Linked DNA regions of Diceros bicornis minor. The protein of the gene in region 3 interacts with the protein of the main gene of each other region in a biochemical or structural test. Links are inferred from orthologs where the notes say so. Each region holds a gene or a part of one and is shown on either strand. Other genes may lie near its edges. The genes, in order: FOXO3, MTOR, AKT1 and AKT1S1.

Evidence for each region.
Region 1: of the proteins of AKT1 (region 3) and FOXO3, one has a biochemical effect on the other in vitro, tested with the Homo sapiens proteins (2 studies listed by BioGRID and IntAct). The link is inferred for Diceros bicornis minor from reciprocal best matches to the Homo sapiens genes AKT1 and FOXO3.
Region 2: of the proteins of AKT1 (region 3) and MTOR, one has a biochemical effect on the other in vitro, tested with the Homo sapiens proteins (19 studies listed by BioGRID and IntAct, with this or other methods). The link is inferred for Diceros bicornis minor from reciprocal best matches to the Homo sapiens genes AKT1 and MTOR.
Region 4: of the proteins of AKT1 (region 3) and AKT1S1, one has a biochemical effect on the other in vitro, tested with the Homo sapiens proteins (2 studies listed by BioGRID). The link is inferred for Diceros bicornis minor from reciprocal best matches to the Homo sapiens genes AKT1 and AKT1S1.

The regions. Positions count from the first base shown.
Region 1 is NC_080762.1:26,451,978-26,459,038, reverse strand, and holds the start of FOXO3 (forkhead box protein O3), read left to right. Parts: upstream 1-4,058; 5' UTR 4,059-4,244; intron 4,245-5,111; exon of another isoform or gene 5,112-5,344; 5' UTR 5,345-5,472; coding exon 5,473-6,090; intron 6,091-7,061. UniProt on the Homo sapiens protein: Transcriptional activator that recognizes and binds to the DNA sequence 5'-[AG]TAAA[TC]A-3' and regulates different processes, such as apoptosis and autophagy.
Region 2 is NC_080752.1:30,490,936-30,498,709, reverse strand, and holds the start of MTOR (serine/threonine-protein kinase mTOR), read left to right. Parts: upstream 1-4,764; 5' UTR 4,765-4,847; intron 4,848-5,103; exon of another isoform or gene 5,104-5,421; intron 5,422-6,756; 5' UTR 6,757-6,770; coding exon 6,771-6,932; intron 6,933-7,591; coding exon 7,592-7,700; intron 7,701-7,774. UniProt on the Homo sapiens protein: Serine/threonine protein kinase which is a central regulator of cellular metabolism, growth and survival in response to hormones, growth factors, nutrients, energy and stress signals.
Region 3 is NC_080763.1:49,324,945-49,332,704, forward strand, and holds the start of AKT1 (RAC-alpha serine/threonine-protein kinase), read right to left. Parts: upstream 3,014-7,760; 5' UTR 2,923-3,013; intron 207-2,922; 5' UTR 121-206; coding exon 75-120; intron 1-74. UniProt on the Homo sapiens protein: AKT1 is one of 3 closely related serine/threonine-protein kinases (AKT1, AKT2 and AKT3) called the AKT kinase, and which regulate many processes including metabolism, proliferation, cell survival, growth and angiogenesis.
Region 4 is NC_080773.1:25,230,527-25,238,460, reverse strand, and holds the start of AKT1S1 (proline-rich AKT1 substrate 1), read left to right. Parts: upstream 1-4,928; 5' UTR 4,929-5,365; coding exon 5,366-5,565; intron 5,566-5,580; exon of another isoform or gene 5,581-7,191; intron 7,192-7,934. Other genes in the region: TBC1D17 (TBC1 domain family member 17), read right to left, coding at 3,535-3,609, 3,839-3,937, 4,391-4,411. UniProt on the Homo sapiens protein: Negative regulator of the mechanistic target of rapamycin complex 1 (mTORC1), an evolutionarily conserved central nutrient sensor that stimulates anabolic reactions and macromolecule biosynthesis to promote cellular biomass generation and growth.

The DNA.
Region 1 (7,061 bases), on a different chromosome or scaffold from region 3:
GTGTCACACTCAGAGGAGGCAAAGAGGAAGAGAGGGGATGGGAGCTCCAGAGACTCCTGGGGAGAGTGGTGATGAAACCTGTCTGGAATGACACCCAGAGAGACAAGCTAACACTGAAGCTCTTTGGTACACAGTGTCCAATATGTTTTCCATGTGCATAATTTGCTGAGAAGAGGGGAGGCAGAGGAAGGGACTAATGAGGGTGTCAGACAAAAGACGGGGAGCAGCTATAGATCTGAATATTGGGGCTCCATCTTTTCAGCTGGGTCACACAATTGTTGGGGGGCTTATACTGCATTTGTGTTTCCTGTCTTCATTGTTGAGACGGACCAAGAAGCCAATCCAAGAGGGAAATGAGCACTTTGCTGCCAGGCAGCGTGCTCAGGCCCTAGTATTTGGGCTCTGGGGTCAGAGGGCGTACCTAGCTGACTTAGGTTCAAAGAGGACTGGGCAAGGACACAAGTGCTGAGCGGTGGCCCCCTCGGAGGCAGAGCCCTGGCATCTACCATCAATCCCTTCATAATTAGATGTGTGAAATGGTGAATTTACTCAGTTTATTCAGGTAAAAAAACATTTAACTTTTGCTCCTCCAGTGACCGAATTTGCAATATGGAGTGGACATCACCACCTTAAATCCTTTGTAGAAATAATCAGGGTATGATAAGAAGTGAGGAGAGCTGTGACCAAAAATTCTACCTCAGAGGTTATGCTGGCATTCCTATTCAGTCAACAACCATAACTTACTCAGCTTTCCTAGACTAAAAAGTTTAGAAAAAAAAAGGTAGGGGGAAAAATGGAGAAGGACCAAGGAGGCTTTCAGGGGAAAGCAAAGGTCACAGCAGTTTCAGGCTAAAAGAGAACAATCACTGAGATCCAATCTCTGAGTTTTTAAAGGCCTGCCCACAGGGACAAATTACAAGTGTAAATTCTTTGGGTAAGACGCACATTTACCAAGCTGAATTTTTATAGTCACTGCCATTTGAAGTTCTGATCCTTAACTCATTTGAAACTTACCCAATGCGATGTGTATGACCTCTTGTATTTGTCTTGTATGTTTTTAAACTCTTGAAATACTGAACTTTTTAATATGTCTTACACCCCCAACTAAGACTAAGCTCTTTGAGGGAAATGGCTAGATCACGTCCCTGTCCCCCACTCCTCACCAAGAAGGTCTCAATGAGCTCAATTAATCTATTAAATCTTTAACTTTTACATTTTTTGGTATGCCTTCGGGATATGCATTCTGTAAATGGACATCCCACATGTTTATAGTGAAAATCTCATGGCCAAGAGCCCAGCCAGTGTAAACACATTCTTTCTCCTTCTGCCCGTCTGCACTTTAATGACAAAAGATTGCTTAGATTTAGAGAAGAAAACGGGTAGATTTCTTTTACAGTGTGTTGTAAGTATTTTTAAAAAGCTGCTGAAAGTTCTTTGGATTTTATACTGTATCATGGTGCAAGGCCCTGGGTGATCTAGCCACCAGGTTCTGCGTGCAAAGCTGAACACCAGACTCCGGGTAATATGCTCCAGCTCCCCCGCCTCCCCATGGGCATTCGAAGCTGAGTTTTGGTCGGACAGCACTGTCCACACTGTCAGGCTATAAACCAAATGCAAACTCAGGGATTCTCAGTGGGGCAGGCCCACAACCAGAGGAGAGGAGCCGCACGCAGAGGAGCAACCCCAGGAAGCAACCAGAACCCTGTTCCCAGACTCCTCCTTCCAAAGACACCCCGAAGCAGCAGAAGCGCATTTGTACGTGGGCAGAGCTGTATGCCCAAGAGATGGGCACATATGGACTGAGGACATTCGGAGCAAGCGAACGAGGGCACAAAGCACGCAAGGTGGTGCGAGTCTCCCTCGCGGCTAGGTTGTTGTGTGCCAGTGAGCGTGTGAAATCTGCTCCGGAACCGGTGGCCGCGGGGCCCGGCCTGGCGCGGCCTCCAGGACCCAGAGAAGCAGGTAGCTTTGTTCCCGGAATGTGAATGAGGGAACCGAGCCCGGGGTTAAAGAAGGCAGCGTCCCGAGGCGGGAACACGTCGTTTCCGTTGAGGCTTGCGCAGCGCGAGAAACTCGCCGTCAGGCTCCCCGGGTCGAGGGGCCGGCTGCGCTGGAAGCCCGCCGCGGGGACAGCCTCGCTGGCCGGAGAGCAGCGCCAGAAGAGGCCGTGGAGCGGGCCCCGCGGCTTCTCCCAGAAGGCGCGGGCGGCCCCACGCGCCCGCCACTCAGCTCGGCTGCCAGCACTACATTCCATTTAAAAATAACACCCACGTGCGCTGGTAAACAAGCGCGCGCGCCTGGCGGTGCCGCGCGCCCCGGGTGAGCGTGTGCGGCGCGCGCCCGCCCTCCTCCTGCACGTGTCTGCCGGCTCCACCCGCGGCGCTCCGGCGAGGCTCAGTCTCCTCCCCCGCGGCGGGCCGCGCACCGCCCCCCAGCCCCGAGCCAGGCGGCTCCCGGGCCCTAACGCCCCCCTTACTGCCAGGCGCGCCCCGCAGAGTGCTCTCCAACTTTCCTCTCCTGACGCCACCTCATCGCGGCGGGACCCGTCACCCCAGGTCTGCTCCCTCCCTCCTCTCCCCGGTCCTCTCCTGTCCGCCTCCTTTTAACTCTCCCTCCGTCAGAGCGCCAAGGACTGGCTTCTGGTTCGCCCTCTCTTTTTCTCCACTCCTCCCTCCCCTCCTGCCTTAGAATTTTACTCGATTGTTTATTATTTGCTGTGCGGGCGGGGGCGGGGGCGGAGAGGGGCGTCTGCGGCCTGGAGACTGGTGGCTGCGGCCAGTCAGCGTGCGACTTGGCTTGACGAGTAAGCGGCGCAGCGAATGGCGACGCGGCGCAGCGCTCTCGGGTCACGCGCGTGTGGATACAATGACATCATCTATTTGTACGCGTCGAACTAGCTTGGTGCAGGGGCGGGGCCGCGCGTCACTTGAGTGACGGGCCCTTCGCAAAGCCCGGAGCCTGGAGTAGGCCGGGTGGGCGGACTCCTGCGTACGCTGGGTTGGACCTTTTTGTGTGTCGGGTTGTTGAGGAGCCGCTCTAGACTGTAAGATATCTCCAATGACTTGGAAGGATTTAAGAGAAAAAAAGATATTCATGAATCAAAGTGGATAGACTTTTGGTGTGTGTGTCGCATGTGGTGCATTCTTAGTGCACAAATGAACGATCTGGGCACTGATCGTAAGATAAGGACTTGTGAAGATGTTTTGCTAAACCTAAAGGAGTATCTCTTTTTTAAAGTAAAAAATGCACAATTAGCCGTTTTGCCGTCATTTACAAATTAGAATCAAATTACTTCCCATTCACAGTTGTCCAAAATCTGCTCATGCGTTTAGGAATGGGGAATAATTTGCTTTTCCCTCCTGAGTTACACTTCTCCCCTCGTTTGCCACGAAATTCATGAAAATTGAAACACGATTGCGGTCGAGCGTCTTAGGTAAGAGACAGTGCAAACCTTTTCGTGCCTGATCGAATCGAAGCGCATCAGTTTATGGAAGTCCTGTAGCCACCAACATCGTCGCTTGTCAGTATTTCCAAGCTGAGGTAACCCTTGCCATCTTCGGTCAGCATCTTATCTCGGGTGTTACCTGGTGTCCGGTTCCCCATTAGAACCGGACACCAGGGCGGCTCCGGGCGGGCAGACGCGCGTGCAGGGGACCGCCGGTGCCAGGCGCCCTGCCGGGAGTCAGAGAAGCCACGCGACTGCGCTCGTGGAGCGTTTGGGGCTCTGCGCTCCCCCTCCCTCTTCTCCTGGGCCAGCGCCGCGCTTTGTTGTCGTTGAGGCTCTGGGGAGAGAGGAGGAGCCCGGCGGGGACGGCTGCGGGAGCCCGCCGAGTCCCGGCCCGTGGCGCGCGCCCTGACACCCACGCCCGCAGCCCCGCGGAGCCGGGTCGCGCAGGCGCGCGCGCGCGCGAGCGCACTCACACACGCACACACACACAGCACACCCGGGCCCGCCGCCCAGCCCTCCCCCTGGGCGGGGACCCGCCCGCCGTCAGCCTAGGTTGAGGCACCCTGCGTGTGTCTATAACTTTGTGCTGCTGCCGCGGCCGCCCTGCTGGTGGAAGGGAGGAGGAGGAATGTGGAAAGCGGCGGCGCGCAGGCTGACAGGCGGTTCCTCCGGCGGGCTGCAGCGGCGGCCGGAGCACCTCTCCTTCACCGAGGTTGCGCGCCCCTTCCTCACCGTGCCCCGGGCCCGCGCGGGATTGTGCGTCCTCCCCCCTCGTCCCTGAAGGGAAGGAATCGAGGTAGGCGCCGGAGCTGTGCAGCGGGGCGTCCGCCTTCCCGGTGACTCCGGATCTGCTTTCGAGCTGGGCCAGGCGCTTCCCTTTTCCCTCCCCGTGACTCGGTGTGCGCGCCCCCCCTTCTCCCCGCTAGTGTTTTTAAAGGACTTGAGTGAAGGGAGAAAAAACTGTCAAGATGGCAGCAGCGGGAGCAAGGAGGTGATGAACGTGCTGGTCCGGGTTTTCTGGCGGCCCGGGAAGACTTGGCGCTTCCCGACCTGTTGGAAGATTTATGTTTGACTTGCCCCCTCCCCCCGATCTTTACAGGGAAGCGGGTGGAGGGCACAACGTGCGCGAGAAAATAAACCACACAAAACCCCAAAGTGGCTGTTCCTGCTCGGCTCGACCCTTTGCGAACACCAGCCGAGCTGCCTATCCCCCTTCCCGTCTTTCTCTTTTCTGGAAGTGACAAGGGCCCATTTGCGCGCGGATCCACGTTCGCCCTCCCGGCCCGCGGGCCAAGAGGGGAGAAGGGAGCTGCCCGCGCCGTCCCCGCGCTCGGGCCCCTCCACTGGGAGGGGAGGTGGCAGGGGAGGCGCGGAGGCGGCAGGGCTGGGGACGGGGAGGAGAGCTGAAGACGCCACAGACTTTGGCGGCGGCGCCGCGGGAAGCACTTGAGCGGCCCCGAGCGAAACATAAACAAACGCACGCCCGCCCGGGCTCGGACTCCGACCGCGGCACCGCTGCGCCAGCTCCGGCCGCTGCCCGATTTAAAGGCGCGGCCCGCGCCCCTCCCCCTCCCCTCCCCCTCCCCGCCCCTCCCCCTGCCTCCCCGCCCAGCCACCTAACCCAGGAGGGACCTGCGGCTCTGGCAGCGGCCGGGGGAGGGGGCTGCCCCGTGCGAGCCCGTCGATTCGCTCCTGTCTCCCCCGCGGCCCGGCCAGGGGGCGGTGTCTGCTGCGCCAGGTTCGCGGGACGCACGTCTCCAGGTCTGCCTGCTCCTAGGAGGCGGGCGCGGTGCGCTCGGGCGGCGGCAGCGGCAGCGGCGGGCGAGGACTCGCCGAGGACTGGGCTCCGGCCCGGGATAACCAACTCTCGTTCTCTCTTCTCTTGTGCTTCCCCAGCGGTGGCGGCGGCAGCGGCGCCCAGGAGCCCGAGTCTTCGCGGCGCCCCAGTCCCTCCCCCGCCGCACCCCTCCCCGGCGCGAGAGGAGAGCGCGAGAGCCCGAGCCGCCGGCGGGCGGGCGGCGAAGATGGCAGAGGCGCCGGCCTCCCCGGCCCCGCTCTCTCCGCTCGAAGTGGAGCTGGATCCGGAGTTCGAGCCCCAGAGCCGGCCGCGCTCCTGTACGTGGCCCCTGCAGAGGCCGGAGCTCCAGGGGAGCCCGGCCAAGCCCTCGGGGGAGGCGGCCGCCGACTCCATGATCCCCGAGGAGGAGGACGATGAAGACGACGAGGACGGCGGCGGGAGGGCCGGCTCGGCCATGGCGATCGGCAGCGGCGGGAGCGGCTCGCTGAGCTCCGGGCTGCTCCTTGAGGACTCGGCCCGGCTGCTGGCTCCCGGAGGGCAGGACCTCGGGGCCGGGCCAGCCCCGGCGGCGGGCGCGCTGAGCGGGGGGACGCAGACGCCGCTGCAGCCTCAGCAGCCAGTGCCACCCCCGCAGCCGGGGGCGGCTGGGGGCTCCGGGCAGCCGAGGAAATGCTCGTCGCGGCGGAACGCTTGGGGGAACCTCTCCTACGCCGACCTGATCACTCGCGCCATCGAGAGCTCCCCGGACAAACGGCTCACTCTGTCCCAGATCTACGAGTGGATGGTGCGTTGCGTGCCCTACTTCAAGGATAAGGGCGACAGCAACAGCTCCGCCGGCTGGAAGGTGCGTACCCACCTCGGGCGGGCGGCCGGACCCGCTGGGCCTCCTGCGCAGTTCGAGACGCGCCTTCGATGCCTCGGAGCGCGCCTGCGGGCGCCGGGGAGAGGGGTTGGCAAGGAGAGCCTCGGCGGGGAGGCTTTGGGGGTTCTCTGCGACCCCCGGAGGAGGGGAACCTGGGGACGGCCGAGGAGGGGTGGGGCGGAAAGGAGGCTCTCGGGGAAGCCTCGGGCATGGCCAGGTGAGGAGAGGGGGCAGGGGACACCGGCGAGGGAAGGACAGACGGACAGGAGTGCGTTTGCTGGATTCTCGGGACAGCACGGAGAAGGTAGGTCCGCGACCAACTTTGGAGTAGTGGGGGTGAGTTCACCGTAGTGGGGTGCGGTGAGGGCGCTGCGGGTGGAGCGAGGGGACGTGGGGGAGTGTTTGGGACTTGGTGCTCGCAGGAGGGGTTGGATTTGTGGTTTCCAGTCGGTCGCAGAAGCATGGTGTATTGTCACCAGCTGGATGAGAACCTTTGGGTCTAAGTTTCAGGCTTGTGGGTGTTAACTCCCATAGGCACATGGATCCCGTTTGAGAAAGCAGTGGTTGCCAACCTTTTCCTGGCCGGCTGTCTTTCCTTCCTCGTGTTGACACTTTTATTTTTCACAGATGTCTCTTTAGTAAACCTGCCCCCTAGTAGCCTCTGAGCTGTTCTGGGGCCTGGAACGGGCCAGCCCTGCCACCTCCACGCGGACTGGCCGCACCTGCTGCTCCCGGTGAGGCCTGCACTCGGGAGCTGCACGAGGCGGGGTGGAGGACTGGGCCTGCCGCTTCACCTAGGCCTGTGGGAGAGAGGTTTGGTGGCAGGGCTGGGCCGAAATGGCTTCTATCTGTAAGTGAACCTGAAGAGAGGCTCTCCACTGCTCCTTTTCAGCCTCTCTAGGTACTGGACACATGGTAGGGAGAGAGGTGTGGAAAGGCCTATGATGTAATGA
Region 2 (7,774 bases), on a different chromosome or scaffold from region 3:
GCGCCTGCAGCTGCTCCTAGACTTGCCGGAAACAGCTTAACTCAGCATCACAAGAACGACCACGAATGCTTATCGCTTTCCGACCTACCAAGCGCTTTCACTCACCGAAATAGGACTCATTCATTTTTTATTCAACAAGCATTTATTGAGAGCCTACTGTATGCAACAAGCATTTATTGAGCACTCAGTATGGTACGCAGCAGTGAACAAAATGGACAAAAATCAGGGAGCGCATTGAGGGCCATGAGAAAGGTATAATTATCCCCCCCTTTTTAAATGAGAAACTTGTAATGTCTAAGAAATTATTAGTTCTGGTAATTCCCGCTTTTTATTGTGCAATTACCATATGCCATATACTGCCCTGCCTGCCCTTTTTTTTTTTTTTTTTCCATATTCTGGTTTATTTACTTATTCATGCAAATAACCGCCCTCCTCCCCACCCCACCAGGTGGCCAGCTCTGTGTCTCCACTGCCCACCTTCTGGGAGCTTATGGTCCATACCTGTAGCTTGTTCTGGCTGGAGAGAGCCAACTGTTACATTTTTAGGAATTTTGTGAACTGGTCATTAGGCACAGCCATTACTAAAAATTAAATTACACAAACTCACAATTAGATAAAACTATATTAAAAACAAAGGTAACAGATACTCGAACCTCATTACTTCCTAATTATTTCACTACATTTTAGCATTTATGCTCTTCAGGTTCTTTGCGTCTGTTGTATCTGCATTGTGGAAATACTACATAATAATGTGCTTCTGCTCATCTCGTCCCAGCTTTTCATTCAGTGACATCCGCTGGTAGCTTGAAACCTGCCACGATGGGAGTCTTTATACTGAGCAAATCAGCCAATCCTTGATAATTGTTTTGTTGATCCTCTAGACTTAAGCAAGGGACAAGGAAAAGTTAATAATGCAGGTCGAAGGTAAAAGTGTGTTAATTCTGTAGCTGTTACTTTGTGACTAGCAACAAGACTTTGAGGAAATATTCTTCCAGTATTGGAAAATTATTATCCAGTTCAGCAAAGAAGCCACTCATGTCGTTGAGAAACTAGTGAAGTTCCAACATCTCTTGATTGTCACACTTTCCTCTTTCTTACTCATTAACATAAAAGAAAATATCAACCAACATTCATGGGAGACTACACTTATTGGTCAATTGCAGCCATAAGGAGGCTACACAATATCAAAGAAAGCATACCGTTAGAATCAACCTGCCATATGGAATTTACAATAAAGAGTAGTGTGTATTTTATTTGTAAGTTGTGTGCTACACATCCTTTACATGTGTTATAACAACATATATAACACATAAAGTTATAATACACATATAACATACATGTACACGGATGGACTACATAATTTTCGTGCCCGATGCAAAATAAAAATGCAGAGCCCCTGGTTCAAAAATCGTTAAGAATTTCAAGACACAACATCACGACCTCATAGGTCACACAGCCATGAAAACAGCCCTGTATGTACATACATGCCCCCCTCCTCTACCAGCTAGCTGGTTGTTAAATATTTACAGCTCCACCACCCAGCACATACTTGCGACGCTGGCCAAACCTGAGAGTCCTACGCTGCCAAATCAGAGAAAAGGAAGCAGCAGGTGTATTAAAATCCTGGCTCCATCACTTACCAACTCAACGACCTAATCCCTCTGTGTGTCAGTTTACTTGTGTGTAAAGTGGGAACAATACAGCCTGCCTCACAGAAATGTTCAGGAATAACAGTAACAGCATTTATTGACTGTTCACATGTGTCATACAGTGTTTTAGTTGCTTTACATGTATTGGTGTTTAACCCCACAACACTGCCTACTGAGATAGGTACATTGTAACCCTTCTGGTTTTATAAAGAAATAGTTACTTGGAAATTAAGTACTTGCTCATATAGTTAGTAAGTGTTGGAGCTGAGTTTCAGATTCAGTTAGTTTGACTCCAGTCTCCTTTTATATTGCTCTATAATGTCCACTAAAATGCCTGATACTTTGTAAGTGTTCAATAAATATTAGTTATTATTTTAACATAATGGATAAGAAAGCTCTTTGTAAACTGAAAAGAGATCTACAGATGCACTGATTACTGTTGCTATAAAAGCATCTTTGATTAATTAGAAAGCAGGTAATAAAATAAATAAGTTCTGGGGATATAATGTACAGCATGGTGAGTATAGTTAATAATACTGTATTGCATATTTTAAAATTGCAAAGAGAGTAGATCTTAAAAGTTCTCATCATAAGAAAAAAAAATTTTTGTAACTGTGTATGATGACCAATGTTAACTAGACTTATTGTTGTGATCATTTTGCAGTATATACAAATATTGAATCATTATATTGTACACCTGAAACTAATATAATCTATGTCAATTATACCTTAATAAAAAAAAGATAAGAAAACAGGGCCTTACATCTTAAGGTGGCAGAAATCTCATATATTGCTAGTGGGAGTGAAAATTGGTACCTCCTCTATAAAGATCAATTTGACAATATCCATCAAGCATGGGTACACATGGATTTACTCTCTGAATCTGTAATTCCACTTCCGCATATTTATCTCGGTACAACTGCCAGGGAATAAAATTATATATGTCCAAAAGCATTAATAGGCGGCATAATTAGTAATAGCAAAAATTTGGAAACAACACAAGTGTCCATCAAAAGAGGACTGGAAAGGGGCCGGCCGGTAGCACAGTGGTTAAGTTCATGTGCTCTGCTTTGGTGGCCCGGGGTTTGCAGGTTTGGATCCCAGGTGTGGACTTACCCACTGCTTATCAAGCCACGCTGTGGAGGCATTCCATATATACAGTAGAGAAAGATGGGGGACGTTAGCCTAGGGCCAGTCTTCCTCAACAAAAAGAGGAGGATTGGCAATGGATGTTAGCTCAGGGCTAATCTTCCTCACAAAAAAAAAAAAAAAAGACTGGAAAAATAAATAATGGTATATCCACGTGATAGAATACTATGCAACCAAAACAACAACAAAAGAACAAGGAAGCTTTTTATATACTAAGATGGAAAGATCTCCAAGACCCCCTAAAATTTTAAAAAGTGCAGAACAATGTATATAGTGTAACAAAAAGGGAAAATAAGAATATGTATTTAGGGGCCGGCCAGTGGCATAGTGGTTAAGTTCATGTGCTCTGCTTCAGAGGCCCGGGGTTCACAGGTTCAGATCCTGGGTGTGGACCCACGTACTGCTTGTCAAGCCATGCCATGGCAGTGTCCCATATAAAGCAGAGGAAGATGGGCATGGATGTTAGCCCAGGGCTAGGCTTCCTCAGCAAAAAGAGGAGGATTGGCAATGGATGTTAACTCAGGGCTAATCTTCCTCACATACACACAAAAGAATATATATATTTATATTTGATTGTATTGCATAAAGAAACTTTAGGGATACTTAGGAAATAAGAAAATAAGTAGTGAAGAGGCAGGGGTGGAGCCTGACTTTTCATGATAAATATAATTTTTATTTATGTTAAGATCTGCACAGTGAATATATAATATTCAAAAATGTTTAATGATTAAAAATAGAAATGTTGAACACAAGTGAAAAATGTGGAATGCAGAGGAACAATTAGTTCACAGAATAAGCAATACAATGAAAAGATTCTAAACCTAAAGCAGTAAATCATATTTAAAAAAAAATCTTTCAAAGCATTTTGTTAGCCACAGAATATTAGCAAATTTCTTTCAAATGGCAGTTTAGGACTTCTAGAAACTTACATTTCTTAAACAAACACTTCTTTTTATTACATAAGTAATTGATGGTAATGTACAAAGAAAAAAATATGCCTTCCCCAAGTCCCATTACATCTTAGTTGTATATTTTCCCTCTGTAAACACAGAACACATAAAAATTATGTTTTTTAAAAGGGTTATATTTAACATACTGTTTTATAACATATTTTTTTAAACTTTGAACCATTTTCCTTCTTAGCAAATATTGATCTGCGTTATCATTATTAGTGGCTACACGTTTTCCTTAATATGAATGCATATTTTATCAGACTCCAATTGTGAGATATTTAGGAATTTTCAATGTTTATTATAATAAACAGAATGTATTTAAAAACTGAGATGTCAAATTCCATTTTTAAAACTGATTTTTTGAAGGGATGTTTTAACAACCATGCTGCTTGAAAATTATTTACGAGTGGCTCATTTAGTTCAAACTTGGCTATGGTTTCTCGCGAATGATCTTGTGAGCTAGATAATTTTGGAAAAGTGGGAAAATCTAATTAAAAGCGCTTTCAAATGCATATTACACTTAACAAAAGAGAAATCACGGGTACATAAGTTGAGCTAGTCCGAAAACTTTAGGTCTTTTGCTCCAGCAGCTACCGGGCACCGGCTTCGTTCACACTCTGGTCTCAGAATTAAACCGGGCGGGGTCACGCACCTTCGCCCACCCCTCGCGGTCCCATCTCACCGCACCACACAGCGGACTCCGCGCGGCTACAGCCCCAGTGCCGAGGGGAATTATAGTAGCGACGCACCGGATGTGTGCGTGGAAGCCCCCGAAGTCAACTCACGACCGATTGGTCCTCCCGAGCGAACCTAAACCTCCTTTCTCCTGCCACTGGTCGCGTGGTTTGTCTATTTGAACAGTCCCCGCCCCCTGGGGAAGCCGGGTCCCGAAGCCCCACTGCTCCTTCATTACTATTGGTCTGTGTTCCAGTCCATCTTCTCTTACGCCTGTCGATTGGTCCTTAGCAATAGGAGCCCGCCCTCACTCCCGCCCCGGCTTAGAGGACAGCGGGCCAGGCGGGTGGTGGGGCCGGGGGCCTGAAGTGGCGGTACCGGCGCTGGCGGCGGCAGCTGAGGCCTTGGCCGAAGCCGCGCGGTGAGTCTGGGGCCTGGCACCGACCCCTCCACGGCGGCGGAATGTCCTGACCCTCGGCCGGCGTGGTCCGTGGGGGGGCCCCGGGAAGTCGCCTGTCTGGGACGTGGGGTCCCCTCAGTACCGGCCCCACGGACTTGGGCGCCGCCTGAGCTCTTGACCCCCGCCCCGCGAGGCCACGCCCACCTCCTCCCGGACCCCGAGGAGAGCCCCGCACCCTGCAGCCTGCCGTGGTCTCTGGCGCCGCGTAGACCGGCCCATCGGCTCCGGACCTGCCGGGACGCCTTGGGGTCTCCGTGCCCGTCAGCCACCCCTTGTTCTGAGCCGCCTACAGATGTCCTCAGAGAGGACCAGCGTCAGTGTCGGCCCCGCGCAGTGCGCCCCGGAGCCTCTCGAGGACCCAGTCCCGGGGTTGAGCTGGTTCCGCTGGGTTCGTCCTCGCCGTCTGCCCGCCCCCATCCCTCATCTCAGCCGCCCAGTGAGCCCTCGCCAAGACCCCTGGGGTGTTGGGCTCCCAGTATTTTCATCGAATTCTGTCTGGAGCAGATGGCCGGTGGGCCTCAGACCTTGTAAAGAGGTACTGGGTCTTTCCTGAGAATGGAAATTCCTCACCAGCCTCCCCCCATCACGGACACCCCACCCTCGCTCCATAGTTGTGTTCTCATCAGGGATCCTTGGGTTTCCTCTTCCCGAAGAATGACATTTCCTTCTGCAGTTTTTGTCTTGGCACCAGAGTATTTAAAAGCTTTTCAAAACCAGTTCTTCCCTGTTTTTTCCTCTGCATCTCACAAATTATTCCAAAAATAAGAATTTTGAAAAATTGGTTTTCTAGTATAATCTGAACATTCTTGGGTCAGGTGTGCGTTTTACTTCCATAGCAGTCTCGGCTGAGCCCTGTTATGTCCACTTTATTGTGGTTGCCTGATTATTTATGTTTCCCTCTAGATCCTGAGCTCATTGAGGGAAGGTACATAACTGAGGAATGAATGCGTGATCTCAGGAACTGATCAGTCTGTTTTAGCTCACATTCCCAGTACTAGTATTCTGTAGAACTGCACTGTCCAGTACAGGAACCACCAGTCACATGTGGCTTAGCGCACTTGAAATGTGACTAGTCCAAACCGAGATTGCCGTAACTGTAAAACGCACACGAGATTTTGGAGACTCAGAACAAAAAAAGAATGGAAAATATATCAATGATTCTTTTATACTGATGACACGTTGAATATTCTATATATGAGATTAAATAAAATGTATTAATTACACCTGTTTTTTTACCTTTTTTGATATGGCTACTAGAAAGTTTAAAATTACATTTGTGACTCGTATTATATTTCTGTTGGACAGTGCTGCTACAGAATAATAACGTTTCCCTCTTTAAGTTGAACTCCTTGAGGAAAGCGGCAGTCTTAGACAGATTTTATTCTCTCTCGACCTCCCTACCTCTAGTACCTGGCGCTGTGCCACGTACGTAGTAGTAATAATGATAATAATAGCTAACAATTACGGTTACACTGTGGCACTGTTTTAAGCACTTTTCAACATGTATTAACTCGTTTAATCCTCACAGCAACTCGATGAGTTGGGTGCTATTATCCTCCTATTGCAGTTGAAGAAACTGAGATGTTTTAAGTATCTTCTTCAAGGTATATAACTTTGAACTGGATTCAGACTCAGTCCGGCTCCACAGCCCACAGTTTGACCCTCTCTGCTACCCTGCCTCTTTTACACAGCAGTCATTGTTAAATGAATTGAGGCTTTCTACACGTTCCTCAGTGAGGTCTCCCAACCTGTTTTAGGATCCCCTACCTGATGGGCTGGGTGGAAATTTGTGTTCAGGAACTGGGGCCATAAATAAATTCATCACCATAGTTTGTTATCCAGAATATTTAAAGGAAGCTTCTCTCCATAGAACCTCAGGGCAAGATGCTGGGAACCGGGCCTGCCGCCGCCACCACAGCTGCCACCACCTCTAGCAACGTGAGCGTTCTGCAGCAGTTCGCCAGTGGCCTGAGGAGCCGGAATGAGGAGACCAGGGCCAAAGCTGCCAAGGAGCTCCAGCACTATGTCACCATGGAGCTTCGAGAGGTCGGGGCTTCTGTCATTTGGGCCAATCGTCATGGAGTGTTTGGGCTAAATGTACCATCACTGGTTTAGATTCCTTTTGACAGCTAAGTAAGGATTCGGAAAATGTAGAGGTTCTGTTTTAGAAAGGCACCCGATTTCTCATGTCCAAAGAATGTGCAGTTTCCTTTGCAGTGGTTACACATTTCCGTGGCCTTTCTTGTGTTGTGACATTTTAGGAGTCAGCATAGAGTCAGCTGTTTTTTTAAATTTTTTTCTTTTTCCCATCACATTCTAGACCCTCAGTTCTTTCTGCCTGATAACAGTGGTTGGGATGGGTTTGAAGAGGTGATAGCTTAGGGCTTTCTAAATAGAGACCAGACTTGAAGTCAGGGACAATGTCTTGTTCATCCTTGTACCCCTGGTACTAGGTAGAACCTAGGACAGGACGTGGCCTGCCATGGAGTAAATACTCAATATGTATTTGTTAAACAGGTGAGTTGTGAGTTCACTTGCTCTACAGTTTAAAAGTATGGAGTTGGGCAGTAGCTTTGTCGTCTTTGTTTTGAAATGTACCTGCTGGCCACTTCTCAGGTCTGAATCTTTGGAAATCCCCCTGCCACCCCCCACCACCACCATAAGGAAGACATTAGAAATTGTTCTGAGTATATCTTCCTTTGCAGATGAGTCAAGAGGAGTCAACTCGCTTCTATGATCAGCTGAACCATCACATTTTTGAACTGGTTTCCAGCTCAGATGCCAATGAGAGGAAAGGTGGCATCTTGGCCATAGGTAAGGACAGAGTCTCTGATGACAGTAACAACTAGGAATAAAGTGCTCACCTTTGTGTCCACTGCGCCCCATGT
Region 3 (7,760 bases):
CAGCCGCCACCTGAGGGTGGCATGCTGGCCGGCTCCGGGGCCCCCACCCCAGGCCCAGCCCCGCGGCCACTCACCTCGTTTGTGCAGCCAGCCCTCCTTCACGATGGCCACGTCGTTCATGGTGCCCGGGCTCCGGCTGGCCGGGCGGCCCAGGTCTCACTCCCGCTCCTCTCTCAGCAGGGTCTCCCCGAGCCCAGCCCGTGCCTCTGGAAGAAGCAAAGGAAGTGTGTGAGGCTGTGTCCGGCTGGAGGCCGCTCCTCTGGCCCTGCAGGCAGCCCAGGAGGCCCATCGTACCCGGGGTCTCAGCCTGGGTCTCCCTTCCCCCTTGGCCTGCCCACCTCTTAGCCTTCAGAGCACAGCCGTCCCATCGCCTTCTTCCCGCCATGGCACTTGACATGAAGTTCCCGTTACTCAAACTGCTCCCTGGGCCAGGGCCTCTCCTCGACCTGGGCATCAAGGCCCCTGCCATCACCCCTCCTGGACCCCCAGGCCCTCAGAGCTCACTGCCCCCCCCCACCTCCCCCATTCCCACCTCCCCTGGACTTTATACACTCCCATCCCCAAGAGGCCCTCCCAGCAGATCCCAGCCTCCCTAACCTGCCAGCACAGCAGCAGCCGCCTCCTCCAGGCAGCCCCTCTGACTGCTTCGGCCCACGCCCCTCAGCATCCCCAAGTCCCTGGAGAGGGTGCCCCTGTTTTCTCTGTCTGTGGTACTCCCACCCACGGGCTGGGGTTCCTGGGGCAGGGCCCTGGCTCCTCCTCCCTGCCCCAGACTGGGAAAGGAGAGAAATTCAAACACAAAGAAGGCAGGGCCAGCAGCGCAGGCAGCTGGCGCAGATGAGAGCCAGAGCCCTCCAGGGGGACACGAAACCCCTCCCCTAAGAAACCCCAGGCCCCTCCTAAACCACAGCGCCCCTGCCGGTCTGAATCTGGTTCATTCATCGGCCAACACGTACCGGGCATCTCTGGTTTTGCCAGGCTCAGGGCTGGGCGCGGGGGACAAAGAGAGGCTCAGACGGGTCCTGTCTGTAAGGAGCACCCAGTCCAGGGTGGTTACAGACCCATAATTACAGCATTCACGAGGCCAAAAATGGGGGGTGGCACTGCAGCAGCGCAGTGGTACTGGCACCCACCCTGCAGTGGCCCACCAGCCAGCCCTCACCTGAGCAGACACTTTGGCCATTGATCCTGCACAGCCCTCCCCATTGCTCCCCTGCTGTACGAACTCCTAGGCATCCCTCAAAACCCAGTTCCCACATTACCCATTCTGGGCATCCTGGGAAAAAGCCTTCTTCCCATGAGCAGTCCTCTGCTACCCCTCCAGACGGGCACTCCTAAGGGCAGGCCCAAAGAGACTCCTCTCTGGGACATCCAGGCCAGGCAGAGACCCCTGAGGACCTCTAGAATGGATCCCAACCTGGGTCTTTCTACAGCCGCCTAGACACCCTCCTGAAGCCCTCCTTACTGGCCTCCTGAGGCAGGGGCTGGGCACCCAGAGGGCCGCTTTGCACTCTTAGGCTGACTTTAGAAGGGCAGAAGACCCCACTGCCTTGCGTCTGGTGCCAGGACAGGGAAGACACACTTGGCCCAAAGAAGAAAGTGGCTGACATGCTCAGCACGCCCAGGGGCAGCGATGGGCAGCAAGTGAGCCCCGAAGATACCGCAGAGGAGAGGGCTCTGAGCCCCGGGGACAGGGGGCTCTGGTGATACTTGAGTGGGCGTGGCCTGGGGGCAGGGGGCTGGACTCAAAGACCTCTGGACATCCCCCCACCCCCACCCCGGTCTGAGCAGGGCCTGCTGCTGACCGAGTCAGACAGCTGTTGAGAGCCCCGTGTGTAAAAATATATCTGTGCACACACATAGGGTGGTGTACGTCTGCACAGAAATGTACACACCAGCCCAGTGCCTGGGCCACCTCTGGGCACAGGGCCGGCGGGATGGAGGGGACCTCTGTTTCCCGCTACTTCTGTACTGTGAGTGCCTTTACCATCAACATGTACGACTGCTATTATTATTTAAGCCACAACTTGTGAAAAAAACAATCTGTGCTGTGAAAGGGTCCCCCCCCCCCAAAAACACTGACTTGTGAACTGTATGGTCAGCTCGGGGGCAGGGAATCAAGCCCCCATCAAAACAACCCGCCCTTCACTTGGATGAAGGGCTCAAGAACAGCAAGGAGGGGCCTGGAGCAAGGCGGGGCGGCAGGAGGGAATGTAGGGGGCCCTCTGGCCACAGAGCACAGCCCACGCCCCCCACTCTGTCCACCATGGCAGTAATTGGGAACAGTCCGGCCCGCCGGCAAACCTGCCCTGGACCCCCCACTCCGGGGGGCAGGCCCCGCCGCCCTCCGGGCCCCAGCTCCGGGATGGCTAGGCAGCACCTCCACGGCCCTCCCAGGTCAGGAAGCAGTTTGGGGGCCCAGGAGGGTGAGCAGTCCTTTGTGGGCTGGCCTGGGCACCTCGCCACCATGTACAACTTTCTGGCCATGGGAAAATGAGGTCTCCTTCCCAGGGCCCACCCACAAACTTCAAGGAGGGCTGGGGCGAGCCTTTTCCTAAGGACCCTGGGCGCCTACTGGGCGCCGCGGCCGCGCTGGCCAGGCGCCCGGGGAGCCCCGGGCAGCAGGGGCGCCCCAGCTCGCGGCCCCCGGCGCCGGGCCGCGCCCCTCCGCCCCAGCCCAGGCCTCGCCCGGCGGAGCCGCTTCCCCAAGGTCATGAGGGAGCCGGGGCCGGCGGCCCGCACCCCCGGCGCCGGCCCGGCCCGCGCCCTCCCCGCCCAGGCCGCGCTCGGCCACTTCCTGCTCCCGCTCCTCATTCCGGCTGCGCGCGGCCCGCGCCCCGGCCCCGCCGGCCGGGAACAAAGCGGCCGGGCGCGGGGAGGAAATCCGGGCCCCGGCGGCGGCGGCGGCGGGCGGGGACTCACCGGGCGCCGCGTCCGGGCGCGAGCGCGGGCCTAGCCGGGCCGCGGCCTCCGGCGCCCGCCGCTCCGCATCCCCGCGGGCCGGGCCGGGCCGGGCGGGCGGGGCCGGGCTGGAGGCGGCGGCGGCGGGCTGCTCGGCGGGCCTCGCGCGCCTCGGGGCCGGTGCTGCGCGCGGCCGCCGGCTCGCGTCCTCCGGCTGCGCTGGCTGCGCTGGCTGCGCTGGGCCGGCCGCCCGCCCGCCCGCCGCGCTCGGTGCCGCCGCCGCCGGCCCGCCCTCTCCCCGCCCCGCGCCCGCCCCGCCCGGCCGCCCGCCCACATCCGCCTCCGCCGCCCCGGGCGCCCCCACCGCGGGCCGGGGCGAGGGCGCGGCGCCGGGAGCGCGCGGCGGGCGGCTCTCGGGGCCGGGGCCGGGGCCGGGCCCGCTAACGGAGCCGGGCCACTGCCCGCCGCTGGGGCCGGGCCCAGACCACGTCCCCTCTGGCCTCAGTTGCCCGGTTTGTCCAGGGAGCCTGCGCTTCTCGGCCCAGTTCTGCCACGACCCTATTAAAAGGGCCGATCTGGGCCGAATCCTGGGCTTCTGCTTCCACTGGGGGGATAGGAGGGGGCAGGTTAGTTTGACTTTCAGAAGGTGCTCCAAGTGGGTAGCCACATGCTGGTGGGGGGGAGGGAGCAGCCAAGATTCTCCTAAAAGACCAACCCAAGGGCCCTGCCAGGTGAGCGCAGAGTGCTGGTCCCTGAGGGCATGCCAGAGGCTGGGGGGCGAAGTCAGGTCTGAGGTGGGCCTGGAAGGCTGGCTGGACCGTGGACAGGAGAGGGCAGGCTACGGGACTCGGTCGTCCATCTCTGTGCTGAAGGCCTGCCATGGGCCTGGCCCTGGGCTGGGCCCTCAATCCCTCCGGGGAGTCTTCCAGGAGCTCCCCTCCCCAGAAAGATGTGACATATGGCCCTATAAAAGTGGATGGGGACTTCACGTGGTGACAGTGAGGGCTGCAGGGACCAGTGGAGGGGCATGCATGTGGCACCCGGCTTCATGCAGCACACCTGGCCTGAGGTGCCCACCGGGGCTGGGCACAGACACACAGCAGGGGGAGCTGAGGGGGAGCAGACTCAGGAGAAGGGCTGTGCCAGCTGAGGCCGCCAGGACCCTCCCTGCTGTGCAAATGGGCCCTGGGCACCCACAGTCCACTGGCAGGCATCTAAGGGCCAGGGAGGCAGAGAGACTTCACCCCCTCCTCCTACAGATCCCCAGGATCTGCAGACAACTTCCCACCCGTGACCCCTCCCTGGGCCCTGGCCCTTGGCTAGAGCCACTAGTTTCTCCAACAGCTGCCCCTCCCCCCAACCCTGAGGCCTCCCAGTTGATAGTTATCCTTTTGTGAAAGGAAGACTCCTGTAAGTTACCTTCCTGAGGTTGGTATGTGTTGGGGGGGGCATTTTTGTTCTTCATCCAGGGTCAGAGTTCAACCTGAGGGGGCGTGGACACTTCATCTGGGTCAGAGGCAGGTGCAGCCCAGCTGAGTGTCCAGGACGGCATCTACAGCCAACACTGGGGCTCCATCCTTGCCTCTTGGGGCTGACCTGAAGAAGGACGCTCCTCAGAGAAGGACACTCTCTCCTGCTCAGGGGACACTGGCTCCTTGAGGAGGGGACTCCCAGTTCCCGGCCTCTCCCCTTGGCACTGCTGCCCCCCACCCTCCCACTGCAGCGCAGCTGTCCCAGCTCTGACTGTGTACCTCCAGGCAGGGCCGTGCCTCCAGGGGGCCCAGTGAGAGGCCCCGACCGTGCCGCTGGGGCCAGATGCCTGACCTGAGGGTCAGCCCCTGATGTCCAATGTCTGTCCATCGCTCACCCTGCACACCTTCCCCCTGGGGCCCCCTGGGACCATCCCACCTACCCACTGCTCTCCCAGGAAGGGTTTCCGTGCCCACCCCCCATCCTGAACTGACAGTGCTATGGAGGAGGTGGAGGACCAGAGGAGAACCCGGCAGGGTGGCAGCCAGTGGCCACTGAGGGGCCGGGAGGGCGCCGTCTTGTGGAACATGTGGCAGCTCCCCAGGTGCTCTGGGGCCTGCTGGCCATTTGAGGAACCGCATCTTGGCTGGGAGGCTGCATCGCAGTGGTCCCAAACCTCCAGGCCCGTCTCCAGGAGGTCTCCCTGCCTGTTCTGCACGGCGCTCTGGGCCAGCCCCCACTGTGCGTGACCTGCTGTGTGCCCCACACCCCATTCCATGCAGTGCCCAGTCCTGTCTGCACCTTGGCATGCCCCTGCCCTGTGACTGGGGTATCCCTGAAGGCAGGGCTAGCCCCCTCCGCCTCTGGCCTCCGGCAGGGAAAGCAGAGCCCCTCTCCTCAAGAACACCCCCTTCCCAACCCCCAGACAGAATGGCAAGGAGAGGACCAAGCTTGCCAGCCCATGCTGGCCGCTGCTGGGGCCGCTGAGATGCCCCTTGGCCAGATGTTTCCAACAAAAATTGCTACACTGCCCCTGAGGAGGGTGGCCGCCTGCCCCTCCCAGAGCACAAGAGCCTCCGGGCCTGTCACCTTCTGCAGCTGCCAGCCTTCTAGCAGGACTGGTGGGCCGGTGCCCGGGCTGCCTAGTCTCAGCAGCAGCTGCAGGGCGGGGCCTGGGGGCAGCTCCCAGGCCAGATGGCCGCCTGGCCAGCTGCGTCTGGGAAGCCTCTGCCCGCACCACTGCGACAACCTCCTGTCATCCCTGTGACTGGGACTGCACAGGGCCGGAGAGAGGATCCAAGGGCCAAGGGGCGGCCGGCTCCTGAGTACCATCTCCGGGCTGCCTGAGACAGCCCCTCCTCAGGGTGGGGGGTATCAGGACAGGGGGACCTACTCAGACCTTCCGACCTGAGAGACTCAGGGGCCTCTCTCCCACTCTCCCCTCCCCGAGTGACGTCCCTCCTCTAGCCCATCCCTACCTGGGCCGGCCTCCCAGGCCCAACCCCAGGCTCTTACAGGCAGCGTCCTAATTTGCTTCAGCCTCTGTCTGGCCCCCAAGGAGCACTTCGTCCCACCAGCCAGGCAGGGCAGGCCAGGGCACTCTGCCCACCCCGGGGGCCTCCTCCCGGCCTGCGGCCTGTGTGGGGAGCTGTCCGTCCAGAGCCCCAGCAAGGCCAGCCTCCCCTCCCTGCCTCCGCATGCTCAAGGCCGGGCCTGGGGAGGCCACACTGGGCATTGTGGCACCACAGAGCAGTCAGAATTCAGATGGCAGCACCTAGGGAACATCCCTCACGGAAGCCACCGCCATGCATTCACTCAAGAGACCTTTCCTGAACCCCACTTTGTGCCCCGACAGCTTCTTAGCCCCGAGAATACATCGGGGGAGCCGAGAGAGAGCACAGTCACACGGCACGGGGAGTGCTCTGGAGAAGGACGAGGAGAGGAGAACGTGGGCTTGGGGGGACCTCGGTGGGGTGGTCAGGAAAGACCACTCTTGGGGTGCTGCTGGAACAGAGACAGGAATGGAGGAGCCAGGGAAGGCCTTCAGAGGAGGAGCCTGAGGTCCTGCTGTGAGCCAGGCCCTGCCCTGAATCTGCCTTTCTGCAGATGAGGATATTAAGGTTCGAAGAGGCTAAGGGTCACGCCTGAGGTCGGGAGGGGGCAGGGGCAGGACTCTACACAGGCGAGAAGCCACAGGCAGTTCCATCTGGGTTCCCTCTGACTGGACTGGAAGTCAGCTCCTCCTGCTGTGGGCTGGGTGAGGGGGTGGAGGGAGGGGGTTGACCCTCCTCAGAAGGGTCCCCGAGGTGAAGGGCAATGGAGCCAGGGCCGTCTCAGTGGCTCAGTGCAGCGTGAGTCCAGAGTTCCACATTGAAGTTGCCGGATTTAGGAAATAAAAATACAGGACACAGTCAAATTTGAACTTCAGATAAACAAGGCATAATTTTTTAGTGTAAGAATGTGGCTTTCCTTCCCACACAGACTGTGGTGGGCCCCAGGCCCTCTGGCCGCTCCTCAGGCCCCCAACCCACCAGGCTTGAACAGGATTCCTGGGTGGCGACCCCCCATCTCACAGCCAGCACTCCCACCTCTGGAGCATCAAGGAGCACGGCTGGAGGGCTCCCCCCTCCTCCCCGTGCTTCCTCTGCTTGCATATACCAGGCCGGCTGGTGTCCCATCCTTTGTAATCCAGGCCCTCCCCCAGTGCCACTCCCGCCACTAATCAAGGCCTCCTTTCTACCCAACCTCTCCTGGCTGGGGCTCCCCCTCCCCAGCGCATCCTGCCTCCGGGGCTGCCTGACATGCAGGTGGGAACTCAGGAGACTGCTGGGATTCTAGCTTACTTACTGCCTGCTGTGTGGCGGTAGGCACCTTACCTAACCTGCCCACCAAAGCAGGTGTGATAACAAGAGCATCTAACTAACGGGACTGTTGGAAAGATAGCTGAGCAGCGGTCCAGAGTGCCTCAGTCCTGCTCCGTCAAGGGCAGCGCCTTGCCTCCTGCCCCTGGGCAAGACTCGCAGCCAGCAATACACCCCCCTTGGGGGCCCCAACTTCTCCAAAATCGTTGCTTTCCATTTCTCTTGGGCTATGTCCTTCTCCCTGCAGACCTAGGTGTCCCCTCACCCCTTCATGGTGCTCTTGCACCTGAAATACCCTGTCCCCAGCTTGTCAACCCTGCCCCTCCACGGTGTCTCCCCCTCCCTGAACACTTTTCCACCTGCTCTGGGCTCTGGAGGCGCTTGAGGACCCTTCTATCACAGCGTTTATCCCCCCACCCCGCTGTGTCCCTGAGACACTAGGACACAGCTCTGCGTGCCTGGCCCCCAGCAAACGCTGAGCTAGGGTCCGCTGAGAGGGTGACAGTCCCCTGTTCTGGACTCCAAGGT
Region 4 (7,934 bases), on a different chromosome or scaffold from region 3:
AGCCAGTCACACAGAATCACGTATTGTAGGATTCCATTTATACGAAACGTCCAGAAGAAGCAAATCTATAGAGACAGACAGTGGGTTACTGGTTGCCAGGAGCCAGAGGAGGGGTAATGGGGGGCGACTGCTACGCGTACAGCGTTTCTTTCGGGATGATGAAATGTTCTGGAATTAGATGGTGGTGATGGTTGCAAAATCCTGTGAATACTGAAAACCACTGAACTATTGAGGGAAATTTTAAATGTTACCATAAAATTGAGTTTTATGGTAAGTGAATTCCATCTCAACAACAAAAAAAGTCGCTGCCCCAGAGGTGGTTGTGAAAATCACGTAAGTGACCACCATGGGGCTGGTGGTGGCTGCTCTGACCTGAGCTCAGGGGTCTGCTGGGCAGATTCAGGGGAACCGTGCAGGGGAGGGCCGTGCTGAGGGTCAGAGTGCAGAAAAAGCCACGGGCCACGCAGGAGGACACGGAGGGGACAAAGTGTGTGAGCACTGTGGCGACTGTGAGTCCACTCCCAGGCCAGTGTGCCCTCCTGTATGGCAAAGGCTAGAAAGCTAAAAACTACATTTCCCAGGCTCCCTTGCAGCTAGAGTGCCACACACAAGACAGAATCTACCAATCAGATGCACTCAGATCTGGAAAGTGGAAATCAGATAAGGGCAACTTCCTGCCGCTCTGGCCAGGTTTGGCTGACAAGCAAGGAGACTCATCTCTCTTTCTCTCTCACACACAGAGAGGCCACTGGGTTTGTGGTGGGGCCAGCGCAGCCTTCCAGTGCCCAGTCACCAGCTTGAGGGGGCCGAGTAGCAGCTTTGATGGCAGTGTTCTTGAACTCAACAGCTCCAATGACAGTCCCCTCTCCCACCGCCCGCCTTTCCGCAGTGGTGGCAGCCCCCCTGGCAGGTCAGTCCTGCAGCGTCGGCCCTGTCCCTCCAGCCTTTGTCAGAATTCTCTGAGCCTCCGCGTCTTTGTCCTGAATCCCTTACTGCTTAAAGTAACTGCCGAGTTTGTGACTCCTGCAATGAAACCCTGCAGACTTAGAGCTATGAAGCCGGAAGGAGCCAGAGGGGGGCGTCTACCCAACAGCCATTTGTGCTGCTGCTTCCAAGCTGAGAGCCCCTACCACAGCAGAAGCAGACATCTCCTGGTATTCGCTTTCCCAGCCTTCCCTGCAGTTCTGAGCAGCCTGGGGACCCAACTCCAGCCAGTGGGGGCTGACAGGACATCTGTGGGGTGTCTGAGGAAGGGAAATTCCTGATAAAAAAGCACCCACAGGAGGGAACATCCTGTTCAGGCTAGCCTTTGGGTGCTGTCAAGGGAGAACATGGTGTTTGGAGCTGTGGCAGCCAACTAGGGCCATGAAGGGAGGGCCAAGGAGTGGCAAGAACACCTGTCCACAAGGCTGCTGAACCAACCCTGGCAAAGCTACCTCTACCCTTCGTGTTTTGTGACATGAAGAATTCAATGATTTAGCTGATGTTTACACAATTTAGTGATAGTTAATAGTGATGTTTATCAAATATTTGCAGCTTTTCTCCTCTCCAGCACACAGCAAGATCACAGCTCGGTGAACCCTACTGGGTGGTGGAGCCGTGCAACTAGTTCTGGCCAAGGAGCTGGGATGTATCTATCACTTCCAGGATGGACTCTTTAATCATTAGGGCAAGACTTCTAGAACTCTTTTCCTCTGCCACAAAGAATGTCGACTTTTAAGATGGTGGCTGCTCTAGCAACATGCTTCCTTGAGTAATCGTAATGAGCGGAGCTCTTTGGCCAACCTGCAACACACTTGTAGAGTGAGCAAAAACAGCCAAAAAGGCTGGCGCTCCAGCAGCCCTTCTGGGCCATGAGGGAGACTGGAGGATGGATGCCACATGCTGAGGAAAGCAGAGCAAAGATGGAAGGACACCGGGTTCTTGATGACATGTGAACTCGTACTTCTCACTTTTGCGCTTTTTAATAGGAGAGAAATGACCTTCTATTTGCATAGGCCGCTGTTACTCCTACTTCTATTACACACAGCAGATGTAACTCCTGACTGAGGTAGAGAGTTTCTGGGAAATCTCTTGTCTTCCTGATCAAAAGGACAGATGTGAATGGCACCCTGCTTGCCCCCTTCTTCTGCCTTAAAAGGCAGATGCAATGGCTGGAGATGAAGCAATCATTTAAAGGCTACGGGGACAAGAAAAGCAGGGTCCCAGTGACCCAGGCCCTGAGGTCACCAACCAAGGCCAGGAGTCCCATACCTCTCAGAATCTTGTGAGATAAGACAAGCAAACTTGTTTTCCTAACCTGTCATTGGTCTGGTTTTGTGATCCTTGGAGCTGAATGTATCCTGAGTGCATAGGTGCCCTTTCTGCTGAAGCCCATCTCAGTGCGTTTCTGTTATTCGAAAACAAGAGTGCCAAGGAGGATGGCAGTATTCTCCAGAAAGCCACTCAGATTGCCTGCGAAGTCGGTGAAAAATGCAGAACCCTGGTCGCTTCTTCCCCAGCTCCCTCGGGGCGGGGGTGGGGGTGGGGGGCCTCTGGAATCTCCATCTGTGCCCCCCCAGGTCATTTGAAACCCCACAGCCCCAGCTGAGGCTCCATGGTCTCTCACACCGGCCATCCTCCCCAACCTGCCGGCCTCCAATCTCCCTCCATTCGGTCCGTTGTTCCATCTCCCACGTGGCCCACCAGAGGGGGCACTCCACACCCACACCCTTCTCCTCTCATGTTTCCCAGTGCCCCCACGACAGGGTCCAAGCTTCTCAGCCCGGCAATTCAGGCCCAAACACCTTTCCAGCAAACCCCTCTACAGAGAATCCCCTTCCCCCTGTGCCCTGCGACACACTTCCTCGTGCCCCCTTCTAATCTCTAGAGTCCCAGCCCAAATGTGTGCTCCCCCGCGAAGAGGCGCGGCTCTGGAAGCAGAGTGTCTGGGTTCAAACCCAAGTTCCAACACCTCCTAGCTTTTTTGACCTCGGAAAAAGGGCTTTCTCTCGTTGTGCCACAGTTTCTCAAAAAGAGAATGGGAGTGAGGGCTTAGGCAGGGTCTGAGTTGGACTCATCCCTGGGTCCAGTTCAGGAAGCCTCAGGAGACATCTGGTAATGAGAAGGGGAGAGGAAGGCTGCTGGCAAAGGAGGTGAGCAGCCTCGGTCAGGTCCTGTTCCCTCTCCAGACCCGATGGCAGGACTGCCCCTTCAAGTTCTTATGGGCTGACGGCCTGTGGAACCTGAATCCACAGGCTGAGTTGTCTTCTTGCAACCTGGCAGGGCTCTCCCAAGAAGCAAAGGGGGCGAGGGAGCAGCTGTCCCCGTGGCCACGAATCTCATGGTGTCTGCTTGCTTTCTACGAATGGGCGTCTTCACCCCATTTCACACAGAGAAAGAAACCAACTGAGAAGCAGAAAGAACCTAGATCCCAACCAGGGTCACACGCGCCCCAATGGTAGGTCTGGGATTGTCCCCAAGTCCTTCCAATGCCTTCCGCTGCCTGGACCTAGAAAAAAGCAAGTGGAGAGGGGGGAAGGGAGAGAAGCCCACCTTCTTGGAGAAGAAGATTTGGGTGGAATCTCCAGCCTCCTCTACAGGGGCCCAGTGCAGGAGGACGTCGTTGTCCTGAGGTAAGGAGGAACGGGTTAGAGGAGCTCCGCTCCAAACTCCCCAAACCGTATTTCCAAACTCCTTCCTCCTCCTGGACTCTCAGGCTTCCGACGCCCCGCCTCTCCCTCTAGTCCCCACCCCCAGCCTTCCTGAGGTCCCATCGCCGACCCCCAGACCATACTCCTACAGAGGCCGCCTCCATCCCGCTCTGGGCGTGCCCGAGCCCTGCTCCCTCCCGGCCCACCTTCTCCACGACACGGATGACGCCGGCGATGAGCGAGTCCGGGTCCTGGTGCTTCTTGGCACTGGTGTGCAGGTACACGCCTCCCTTCTCAAACACCACCTGGGGGCGAGCGCCAGTGAGGGGCGGGGCCCAGGAGGCAGCCAATGGGAGCGGGCCGGGGGAGGAGCTATCCCCCAGGGGGCGGGGCCCAGGCGACCCCCACCGAGGGGATGGGGCTGGACGGGGTGAGGCCGACACTAGCCTGGCAGCGGGGACTAGGGGGTGAAGAGGAGGGTGGTGAGGGGAAAAGGAGCGACGGGGAGAAGTGGGCAGTGCATTCCGAAAGGGGCTGGGCCCAGGAGAGCATCTCAGCAGCCCAGAGGGCGGGGCTAAAAGATGCGGGTCTCCCTAGGGCAGTGGAGGGGAGGGTGACAGCGCGTTTATAAGGGAATGGTATGTTTGCTAAGGAGCTGTCGGGCTCCCAGAGCCCCGGCACGGCCTGAGGGAGAAGCAGACCACCGGAGGGGGGCGCTTCGCATAGACAGAAGAAAAGAATGCGTCCTCAGTGCTTACCCTGTAACCTGCTCCCTCCATAGCTGCGGCCCAGGCCCCACTGCCCCGGCGCCCTCCTTTTCCGGGTCAACGTGCGGTCACATCCGGGTAGAAGGCTCCCCTCAAGCCCGGACAGTGGTAGCGCCCATGTCTGTCCTGGAACAGGAGAGGGTGTAACCATCTTTCAGAATTGGGTGGTCGAACTTGAACCACGAGGGTTTAAGTCACGTGGCACAGACGCTCAAGGTGGAGCTGGCCCGCAAGAGTGCGCAGGCGCAGTGCTATCGCCCTCACGAAGTAAACAAGCCGAATCCAAGAGCTCCACCCCCTCGCTCAAGCTCCCTCCGAAACACCTACTCTTTCTCCATATTGTATACTGGCATCGAAGCCAAAGAGATGCCATTTTGCTCAAGGGCAGGGCTAAGGCCGGTCCGCTGCGGACATGTTAATGCGGGGCAGTCCCATCTCTCTGCGGGGCGCGACGGAGTTGGTGGGGGGGGAGTCCTGGAAAGGAGAAACGGATAAAGGAAAAGAAGGTGAGAGGAACTGTACGTCACAAGGGGTGCTGAGGGTCTCGGGTGAACGGGATGAAGCCGTCAGTATCCCCAGGAGCGAAGCGGTCCCAGATGAATTCCTGAGTCACCCTCGAGAGAAAGCGGCCTGCACCGCCATATTAAAGCTGGGCAAACCGAAGCAAGAAAGGCTGCCATTTTGGATCTCTGCTAGCCTCGGTGCTGAAGGAGGATAGGCCGGAGGGAGAGCCCATACACATTATGGGCAAATGATGCAGGCTGGCTGCCGTGTCATTAACGGGCACTGCTCTCCTCCACTTCTGTGGAAGAGGTTGCTTACGGGTGAGGGACGTAAGGTCGCTTGCTTTAGTGAACCGTGGTCCTGAGTGTGCATGTGCAGACGGCCATACTTCTTAGGGGCAAATCGAAATGGTCTAGGCTTGTTTTCGAGCAAGCCGAAGCCTTTTTTCCAACCATTTTTCTTATGGGTACCGTGCTGTCACCATTCCGCCACTGTGATTCGGTGAAGCCCCTGCGGCCGCCATCTTGGTCTCGGGCGGCCCGGATGTGGGAGGTGGAGCGTGCGGCATGGAGGAGGGCCAACCATGCGGAAGTGACGCAAGACGCCGCCATGTCTTTTGAGGGCGGCGACGGCGCCGGGCCGGCCATGCTGGCTACGGGCACGTGAGTGGAGGCGGCGTTGTGAAGCGCGGTGTGGGGAGGATTTGGCAGTCCGGAGGAGAGGGGCGCTGGGAGGGCGAGCCGCTCGTGGGAGGGGAATGGCCTGCGTAGGTCAGAGGGCAGAGGTCGCCCAGCGACCCTACGCCGAGCGCTGGACAGGGGTCGCCCGCTGGAATCGTCGTATCTGACCTGAGGCAAAGCCTAGGTGGCCTTATCCTCCAGTTTCCAGACCCACCAGGGTCCTCATCTTGGCCGTGGACCACGTCCACAGGGTCGGGGGGTTGCTCGGGGGGCTTCGGGGTGCCCCTCACCCGTTCGAGGGCGGGACTTCCGGCCCCGGTGCCCACCGGGGCGGGATTTCCTGTTTTCATCCTGGAGAAGTGGGTCTTCCCCGGACCCCCGGACGAGGTGGGGAGGTCTCTGAGCGGGGGAGAAAGACCCCAGGCAGTTACCCCGTCCCTGGCCACGGGGTGCATCCTCGAGTTCCTCCCACCCTCGAGCAGGGGGCACATCCAGTTTGACAGGTGATTGGAGAGGGGCTTCACTAGCATCCCTCACTCCTTGGGGGACTTACCCTCTTTCCTCACCTCTTCCTGGGGTCAGTTTCTTCCCTTCACCTCCTCACCGCATCCTAAGAGGCCAATCGCCTTACCTCTCCGCTCCCCTCCTGTGGAGACAGATCTCACCTCCTTTCCCTAATCTTAGATTCCTCCATTTGAGGGTGGGGGCGTCTTCCACCTCTCAGTTTCTTGGAGGATACAGGACTTCCTCCAGAAGCTGAAGGGGCGGGAAACTCCCCAGGTCTTGGCTCTCTCTGGGTGGGTAACCAACTCCACAGAGCCCCCCAGGCTTGACAGACAGGTCTGCCTGAGCCCCCTCCTCCTTTGGCCCATGCCTCGTCTTTGAGGTGGGGACCCTCTCGTTTCACTCTTCCCAGCCCTGTGGCTCCTCTAAGATCAGGACAAAGAGGCGTGTAATCCTAGCGTCTCAAGGAAGTGAGAGCCCCAGGCCTGGCACCGCTGGGCTGTGTGACCTTGGACCAGTCGTTTCCCTGCCCTGAGCCTCAGTTTCCTCCTTCATCAGGTGGGGACGACCCAAGGAGTGGCTGTGAGACCCTGAGCACCCCCGAGTGCTGTGGGGTTTGGAGTCAGGCAGATAGCAACTTCAGCCCCGCTTTTGTCACTGTGTGCCTTCCAGCCAGTGCCTTAAGCTCTCTGGGCCTCACTTTCCCCATCGGGACTAGGAGATCATAAATCTTTCCTCCTGAGATAGGCAGGATGGCATTTGGGATTCAGAACAGGCTCTGGATCCAGATCCCAGTCCCAGCTCCTGCTCTCCAGCTCCATGACCTGGTCAAGATACTGAATCTCCCTGGGCCTCAGTTTGCAACTGTCAAGTGGGCTGATAGCAGCTCCTCCCTCACAGGCTTGGTGAGAGGGTGGGATGAGGGTGTTGATGACACACTCAGGTCCCCACCTGGCTCGTGGGAAGTGCGGGATGAACTTGCTGCGGGTCCGTCAGGAACGGTGCTGGTGTGCTCTCCCTCTGTGTGGCTTCCAGCAAGGGCTTTGTGCCCCGTGAGCCTCGGGGTCACGCTCGTGAGTGACAGCTCCCACCTAAGTGGGGCAGGTAGGAGGTGAGGTGACAGGTGCTGAGTCCCTGCAGGGAGTAGGTGCTCAGCAAACACTGGCGTCTGTGATCATGAGTCACAGAGGGCCTGTGCATTGAAATCAAGCTACTACGACCCCGGGGGCTGGATCACACCATGCTTGAATCCCTCCAGTGATGGGGTGCCTACTGCCCACCCCAAGGAGGCTCCTCAGCTGCCCGGCAGCCCTGGCTCAACTACTCTGGTTTACAGGGGGAAGAAAGTGAGGCACAGAGAGGGCCAGTGAGTGGTCCAGGGTTACACAGCAGGTTTGGGACGGTCAGGGCAGTAAGCCAGCCCTCTTGCCCCTGCTCGTCTTACCTCATAAGGAGATTGTCTGCCTAGGGCAGAGCTGTCCTGGGGCCACAGATCCCTGACCTCGGCTTGCTCACAGTTTGATGGAGGAGGCAGACAAACTCAGTGACGTGAGCTGGAGTGGAGGTAGCCCAGGGCATTGTGGGTCTAGGGAAGGCATCTGGTCCGTCCTGGGTGATCAGGGAAGACGTCCAGAGGAACTGTGGGGACAGGGTCTCCTAGGAAGGACAAAAGCTTCTCGGGCCATGTTCAGGCGCAGGGAGCGGCTGACACACCATTTTCTGCTCCAGGTGCTGTCAGGCCTGCCAGGTGCTGGGCAGGGGCGGTAGCTCAGAGACAAATCGACAGGGCCGCCCTCGGGGGGCTCCCCCACTGGCTGGGGAGATGGACATGGGCCCAGACAGCACTC